2 linked regions of the Ovis aries genome follow. The protein of the gene in region 1 interacts with the protein of each later gene in a biochemical or structural test. Links are inferred from orthologs where the notes say so. Each region holds a gene or a part of one and is shown on either strand. Other genes may lie near its edges.

What was found.
Region 2: the proteins of UPF2 (region 1) and UPF3A form a complex in vitro, tested with the Homo sapiens proteins (2 studies listed by IntAct, with this or other methods). The link is inferred for Ovis aries from reciprocal best matches to the Homo sapiens genes UPF2 and UPF3A.

Annotation. Positions count from the first base shown.
Region 1 is NC_056066.1:16,039,365-16,043,177, reverse strand, and holds part of UPF2 (regulator of nonsense transcripts 2), read left to right. Parts: intron 1-1,559; coding exon 1,560-2,339; intron 2,340-3,813. UniProt on the Homo sapiens protein: Involved in nonsense-mediated decay (NMD) of mRNAs containing premature stop codons by associating with the nuclear exon junction complex (EJC).
Region 2 is NC_056063.1:86,395,505-86,399,903, forward strand, and holds the start of UPF3A (regulator of nonsense transcripts 3A), read left to right. Parts: upstream 1-1,324; 5' UTR 1,325-1,382; coding exon 1,383-1,586; intron 1,587-3,577; coding exon 3,578-3,684; intron 3,685-4,399. UniProt on the Homo sapiens protein: Involved in nonsense-mediated decay (NMD) of mRNAs containing premature stop codons by associating with the nuclear exon junction complex (EJC) and serving as link between the EJC core and NMD machinery.

The sequences.
Region 1 (3,813 bases):
TAATTTAAAAAGCTGTTTGCAAATAGGGATTTTTATGAGTTTCTTGAACAGCTCAGTTACCTACTTACCAAAGTTCTTTAGTACCTCTGTTTTTAATGAGGAACTGGAGTCTTAGGTCTGAAAAGCAATAGCAATAGTTTTAGAATATTCAGAACTATGATTCTTGAGAATTTCTTGCTTATTTTCTATTTTACGTAAAATAATTTGGAAGGATATTTCATTTCACTGTAACTTTTGTTCTCTCACCCTTCCGATACAAAGAGCTTAAAAAAACAATGGTAACCAAAATGCGAACTTTTTATTTGGAAAAATTAAAGCATGTAAAAGATAGAATGGAATAAATTAGTATCCCTTCCCATCTACCCAGCATCTGCAATTACTTTTTTTTTCTTGAGTATTCTAAAGCATCACATTATTTCACCTGTAAATATATAGATAGGTAAGTATAAATATTTTCATTGTGTGTGTGTATATATTCATTATATATATATCAAAGTATTTTTAATAAAGATGATCATTGAGTTGTTGAATGCATGGAAGTAATGAGTTATACTCTCTTAACGAGTACTTTCACTGCTGATCTTGTTTTTGTGTGGCTGGGAGGCTTCTACGAGATTCATATCCCTGTTCTCAGAGATAGATGTAACTCTTTGTTAGCATATTGTAGCTATTAGTGGAAAAATCGTAGAATTATAGAGTAACTCAGGGTTGGTTATCTTAGAAAGATGAAAATCTGTTTTATTAGAAATTTATATTTTAAAGTTACATATTTTGGTGTCTTAGAAACCTCAGATTGTCCTCAATCTCCTACTCCTGCCTGGGTTATTTTACTACTTCTGCAGTTTAAACATGTCCCATCTTTCTAGTAGAAACATAACTAGATTTGATTTTAAATCTTCTCAGGATAAACTTGAGTCTGCTAACCTTTTATATAAAGTGCTTTTATCCTATAGTTTTTCTGGTTCCTAAATGAGCTTTTAATTATACTTGAATTTTAAGGCCTAAACTTTTATTAAGAAAGGTACTTTTATTAAGAAAGGTTTATTTAATGCTGAAGTATGGAAAAGTGGCACCTAACTCAAAGCATTTTAATGTATTTTCTAATTTTGTTCTTTAACTATTTTTTTTGTGGATTTTTTCCCTTTTGCCCAGTGCTTTTATTTGGTTTAGGCTTTATATTTTCCCAAACATATTACTTTGTTTTTTTGTATTAAGAATCCTGTGTTTTATCCATTTATTTTTTTCAGCTTTATTGAGTTACAATTGACAAGTAAATAGTTATATTCATTTAGCGTGCCAGTTGGCAGAATGGTTTTTAATCTAGTTATTTAAAATGCTCCACTCTACCACTTTTGGTGTTATCAGTAGAATGACTTCTCATTATCTTGTCATTAATCAGATGTCTTTAAAGTGGTGAAAGGGCCTTTTGCATCTCTTGTTCCTCTTGGATTTTGTTGCTTTTCTAATTTTTCATTGGCTTTCACTCTTATGGGAATCATCAGTTACGCTTCAAAATGTACAAGGTATCTTACTTGTTTGTTTATTTGTTTGTTATATAGAGAGAAAGAGGAATCCCTTCAGCTTCATCAGGAAGCTTGGGAACGACATCAGCTAAGGAAAGAACTTCGTAGCAAAAACCAAAATGCTCCAGACAACCGACCAGAGGAAAATTTCTTTAGCCGACTAGACTCAAGTTTGAAGAAAAATACCGCTTTTGTCAAGAAGCTAAAAACTATTACAGAACAACAGAGAGACTCCTTGTCCCATGATTTTAATGGCCTAAATTTAAGCAAATACATTGCAGAGGCTGTCGCTTCTATTGTGGAAGCAAAGCTAAAAATATCTGACGTGAATTGTGCTGTGCACTTATGCTCGCTCTTTCACCAGCGCTACGCCGACTTTGCCCCATCACTTCTTCAGGTTTGGAAAAAACATTTTGAAGCCAGGAAAGAAGAGAAAACACCTAACATTACCAAGTTAAGAACTGATTTGCGTTTCATTGCAGAATTGACAATAGTTGGGATTTTCACTGACAAGGAAGGTCTTTCCTTAATCTATGAACAGCTAAAAAATATTATTAATGCTGATCGGGAATCCCATACTCATGTTTCTGTGGTGATTAGTTTTTGTCGACATTGTGGAGATGATATTGCTGGACTTGTACCAAGGAAAGTAAAGAGTGCTGCAGAGAAGTTTAATTTGAGTTTTCCTCCTAGTGAGATAATTAGTCCAGAGAAACAGCAACCTTTCCAGAATCTTTTAAAAGAATACTTTACGTCTTTGACCAAACATCTGAAAAGGGACCACAGGGAGCTACAGAATACTGAGAGACAAAACAGGTGATTTTCAAACGTTTCTCAGAATTGAGAATTTATTTTGGAGCTCATACTTTAAAAAATGTAAAGTCTTCATGCCACTGAAAGAACGTGTGGAAAAGGGCTTATTGCAGGTGATTTCTTAACATTCCAGGAAAATTTCACAGGGTAATAACAGTCTAAATACTCATGTTTAAATGTGAGTTTTTGATAGATTTTGTTTCTGATTTAAAAAAAAGAAATTCGGCAAGTATATGATGATTTTTACATTGTGGATTTTTACTGTGATTTAAAAATCTCCTTAACATTGAGGGATAAGTTTTCTTTTTCTATCACTTTAACTTATCTGTTATTATTTTTTTGTGTCTTTCACTGTTTCTTTTCTACAGCAGGTTTGCTTTTGTTTTGTATGTTAGTTTATTGACGTCACCATTGATACTCGCTCTTTTCAAGAGAATAAGTCATTCATGAGTGATATTTTAGATCAGAAATGTGGAAAATAGTGTACCAAAGTAGCTGTGAAAAAATTCTTTAAATGCAACTATAAAGTGCATTTACAGGAGTCTTTTCTCCTGGGGACATCCATTCAAAATTCTAAAGGAATGATGTGTGTGCCTGTGGTGAAGATCCCTGATTTAGGCCACCCTTGATTGTTACAAGATACTGTAGACTGCTGTGTATTATCTGCACCTAGAAGGCATCAAAAGGCTAGAAGTTGATGTAGTTGGTGGATATTAGATCAGTATGGAGGTGTGTATGTGGAGCAGGGCTGAGGGTGTGCAGAAAGGAGGTACAAGCGTTAGCCTTTGGCTGAATACTCTGCACCTATTTTAAAGTTCCTGTGTGGGGAGAACACTTACTCTTATAAGCCTGTAGTTGGGGAGGACTGGTTTACGTAGTTACCTCTAGAAGGTACTTAACTTAGCCACAAAAGATTGCAATAGTGAGTTGTTCGCTTAGGTAAGAGATAAGATTGGAGCAGAGGCTATATGGATAAATCTGTGGTGGCTGAAGCTCACTCAGAGGTGAGAATTTAAGATGGCAGTGGTGTTCCTTAATGTTTCATAAAACAATCCTCATTTTGTGCTTTTGAATAGCGAGGACTGTTTTAAACTTTGAAGAGCCAACTTCAGAATGTACTTCTATAGCCAGTAATGGGTTAAAAAAGAAAGTAGTGGTCCTCTATTAATAATTTTCACATATATTAGCTTTCTTAGTTACAATTTACATAGTCATTTTTACAGTCTTTTTCCTTTTCACATATGTTTTACCTAATATGTCGCAGGTGATTTTGAAAGTATGGTCTTTGATTTTTTTTTGGCTACTTTCTAAGGTTTTTTTTTTTTTAATTGAACTTCATATTTTGTGTTGGAGTATAGCCAATTAACAGTGTTTTGATAGTTTCAGGTGGACAGCAAAGAGACTCAGCCATACATATAAATGTATCCTTTCTACAGTTTGTGTTTTTGATTGGCCTCACAGAAGCTTTTAGGGCAGA
Region 2 (4,399 bases), on another chromosome or scaffold:
TGGAACTTTTTTTTCTTTCAGTTTTTTAGCTCATTTAAAGTGACACATTTCTGGGCTTCCCTGGTGCTGCAGTGGTTAAGAATGCAGGGGCACCAGTTTGATGCCGGGCCCTGGAAGATCCCACAGGCCACGGGGCAACTAAGCTGGTGCTCTAGAGCCAGGGAGCTGCAACTGCTGAAGCCTGGAGCTGGTAACCCTCTGTGCACAGGAAAGCCCCACCCGACCAAAAATAAATAAAACGACACATTTCGAGTTTGTCCATAGGTAGCGAGTGGTTCAGAGATAAAAGACTGGATTGAGTTAAACCTGGATAAAGTTAAGATGGATCGAGTTAAAACTGAGTTACTCCCAGTGGCTGCCAGCGACTCCCCTCATCTCTTAATGCCTCAGTTACTCCATTCTCGTTTGTACTTGAAGTACTCGGAAGGTGCTATGAATGAAAAATATAGTCAACATGAAAATATGAAAAGGCATGACACTTAAAAATCAACCTGTATGTGAATTATTCTAACCAAAAGTACTTCTGCCTGCATGTTTGTAAAAGGAAAACATGGTTGCTGTCCCATTGAGCGCTTCAAAAAATGAGTGAAGATTATATTGGAAACATTAAGGCCCTGTTTTGTGAGTGCTGAGCGTCTGAGTTACTCTAGTCACTGACACCTGAACACTAAGGGCAGGTGAAATGAAACTTTGCGGCCAATTTCTTCTCTTAACTCTGGGGCATGGGGCATGCCTCCTACTTCGTAGGGGAAAGCCATGTGCTGATTTTTGCTGTCATTTCCTTGCTTTTTCTTAAATGTAACTGCTATTCTCTGACGAAACGTTCAGATTTCCTTGGGAAAGAATAAAAGGCTGTCAACACGTGGCACAGTGGTGAAGAATCCACCTGTAAATGCAGACTGCAGGCTGGATCCCTGGGTCGGGAAGATCCCCTGGAGTAGGAAATGGAAACCCGCTCCGGTACTCTTGCCTGAAAAAATCACATGGAGGAGCCTGGCGGGGAACAGTCACGGGGTGGCAGAGTCGGATACGATTGAGCACACGAAACAGAACACTGTCAAGTGCGCCTGTGTAATTCTCCTGGGACGCTTCTTCTCCGCGGGAGACATTCCGCCTCGCCTCGCCCCGCCCAGCTCAGAGCTCCTACTGAGGCTAAGCTCGCGCCCCGAATTTCCCGCTAACCGCGGCTCCAGGCCCACGGCGCGCCCTGCGCAGCTCGGGTCCGCCCCTGGGCGGCGCGCGCCCCTCCCGCGCCCGCGTCTCCGGCGCCGGCGGCCCGGGGCGGGGGAGGGGACTTGCGGCCTCACAACGGTGGGGGCGGCCCAGATCTCGCGAGGTTTCCGCTCTGACGGGAAGCGGCGGCAGCGCCGCGTTGGGTACGGATGCGCTCGGAGGATGGAGCCGGGGGCCCCGGTGTGGCCGTTGCTACGCGGGGTCCGAGCGGGAGGGAGAAACCATCATCCGCAGAAAGTCAGTTCCGCCGGGAGTCTCCGCGGCGGGAGGCCGAAGCGCCGCTGGCCGCCGCCTCCGGCTGTGGGAGCGGCGCAGGCAAACCTCGCGAGGAAAAGAGGACGGTCCTGAGCAAAGTGAGGGCGGTGCGGGGGCGGTGCGGGGCCGGCAAGCCTCGCGAGAGTAGACTGCCCTGAGGGGCGGGGGCGGGGCCGCTGGCTCTCCAGCACCGCGGACAGCGGCGTCTGGCCGGCGAGGAAGCGACTGGCTGCCCGCTGCAGCGCGCTTGGGCCCCCCCGGTGGCTCAGCGGGCAGAGGTTCCGCCCGCGGTGCGGGAGAGCCGGGTTCGATCCCTGGGTCGGGAAGATCCTCTGGCGCCGGGAACGGCTCCCCACTCTAGTGTTCCGACCTGGAGAATTCCATGGACTGCGCAGTCCATGGGGTCACAAAGAGTCGGACGAGACCGAGCGACTTTCAGACTTTTCTGACTCTGGAGGAAGAAAAGTCAGTTCAGCCTGTGGGTGTTTCCCGGCGAGGCTGGGACGCTGGGGCCCGCCAGTGCCGCACAGTAGTAGCTTTCCTCGCCGAGGGGAGCCGCCTGCGGAGGCCCGGCCGCGTCGTATTGAGCGCGTGGGCCGCAGTGCGGGCGGCTGGCTGTCTGGCTTTAATGACCATTGCCTGGGGAAGTGCTACTGTCCGCAGCCGTTTTTGACCTCACCGATCCCTTTTAGACTATCGAGCCCTCCTTACCCTCTTGACAGCCTTGTTCTCCGTGCGCGTATTTCACGCAGTTTAGGAAAGTTGTTGTTCAGTCGCCCAGTCGTGCCCGCCTCTGCCGCCGCATGGACTGCAGCATGGCAGGCCTCCCTGTCCCTCACCATATTCCGGAGTTTGCCCAAGTTCATGTTCATTGCAGCGGTGAAGCTGTGCAGCCGTCTGTCTCATCCTCTGACGCCCTCTTCTCCTGCTCTCAATCTTTCCCAGCATCAGGGACTTTTCCAATGAGTCGTGTGTTCGCAGCAGATGACCACAATACAGGAGCTTCAGCTTCAGTCCTTCTAGTGAATAGTCAGGGTTTGATCTCCCTTAAGATTGACTGCTTTGATCTCCTTGTTGGCCAAGGCTTTCTCAGAAGTCTTCTCCAGCACCACAGTTGGAAGGCATCAATTCTTTGGTGTTCTGCCTTCTTTACGGTCCACCTCTCACAACCATGATATCCTAAAATACTCCGAGCTGGATATTCCGAGCAGAAACGGGGTGACTGGGATGTGGGTTGTTGTTTAGTTGCTAAGTGGTGTCCCAGATATGCAGATGACACCACCCTTATGGCAGAAAGTGAAGAGCTAAAAAGCCTGTTGATGAAAGTGAAAGTGGAGAGTGAAAAGTTGGCTTTAAGCTCAACATCCAGAAACCGAAGATCATGGCATCCGGTCCCATCACTTCATGGGAAATAGATGGGAAACAGTGGAAACAGTGTCAGACTTTATTTTTTTTGGTCTCCAAAATCACTGCAGATGGTTGATTGCAGCCATGAAATTAAAAGATGCTTACTCCTTGGAAGGAAAGTTATGACCAACCTAGACAGCATATTCAAAAGCAGAGACATTATTTTGCCAACTAAGGTCCATCTAGTCAAGGCTCTGGTTTTTCCAGTGGTCATGTATGGATGTGAGAGTTAGACTGTGAAGAAGGCTGAGCGCCTAAGAATGGATGCTTTTGAACTGTGGTGTTGGAGAAGACTCTTGGGAGTCCCTTGGACTGCAAGGAGATCCAACCAGTCCATTCTGAAGGAAATCAGCCCTGGGGTTTCTTTGGAAGGAATGATGCTAAAGCTGAAACTCCAGTACTTTGGCCACCTCACGCGAAGAGCTGACTCATTGGAAAAGACTCTGATGCTGGGAGGGATTGGGGGCAGGAGGAGAAGGGGCTGACAGAGGATGAGATGGCTGGATGGCATCACCGACTTGATGGACATGAGTCTGAGTGAACTCTGGGAGTTGGTGATGGACAGGGAGGCCTGGTGTGCTGCGATTCATGGGGTTGCAAAGAGTCGGACACAACTGAGCGGCTGAACTGAACTGAACTGAATGAGGTTCTAATGAATCCAACCAGCGACCTCTCTCACCAGGTGGTCATCCGGCGGCTTCCGCCCAGCCTCACCAAGGAGCAGCTGGAACAGCAGCTGCACCCACTGCCTGCACACGACTACTTCGAGTTCTTCACTGCTGATGTCAGGTGAGAAGGCCTCACCAGCCTTAGGAGGCCGAGCGGGAACTCACCGGTGGTCCGGGGATAGGACTCCGAGCTTTCACTGCCTGCCCGATTTAACCCTTGAATGGGGCACTAAGATCCCACAGGCTGTGCCGTGGGGCCAAGAAAAGGGATAAAAAAAAAAAGAGAGAGAGAGAGAGGCACTGTCGTTGGATGGTAAAGTAATATAGATAATAGAAGCCATCTCTGTTTCAACTTCTTTCTCACACGTATGCAGAAATCAGCGCAGATCATTATTTCTTCAAGTTATTTCCACCTAGTCGAATTACTGAATTCCCTTAAAATGATTTACGTATCTCCATAGCATCAACATAGTCTAAAAAGAAAAGCAGTCTAACACCATATTACTTAATTTTGTTTTGGATATCACTAAACATTATTTAATATTACCTTTTATATGAAGTAAGTTGTATTAAAATATAAGAAAGAAAAACAAATAAATGAGATATATAAGCTAATGAGTTTTAACAAGTGAGCACACCCATGTAACTCAGACCCCAGTGTCCCTTCCAGAACTGACACCCTTACTTCCAGCCCACCTCTGCTAAGTTATGTCTCTTTCTGTTCTCTTTTGCAGCTTGGTAGTAAGATGTTTCTGTCGATGCTTTAACAGTTCAGGATCTACTCTTTATTAGAAAGAGCAGACCTCAAGTTAGCCCAACAGGGGGACAGATCAGCT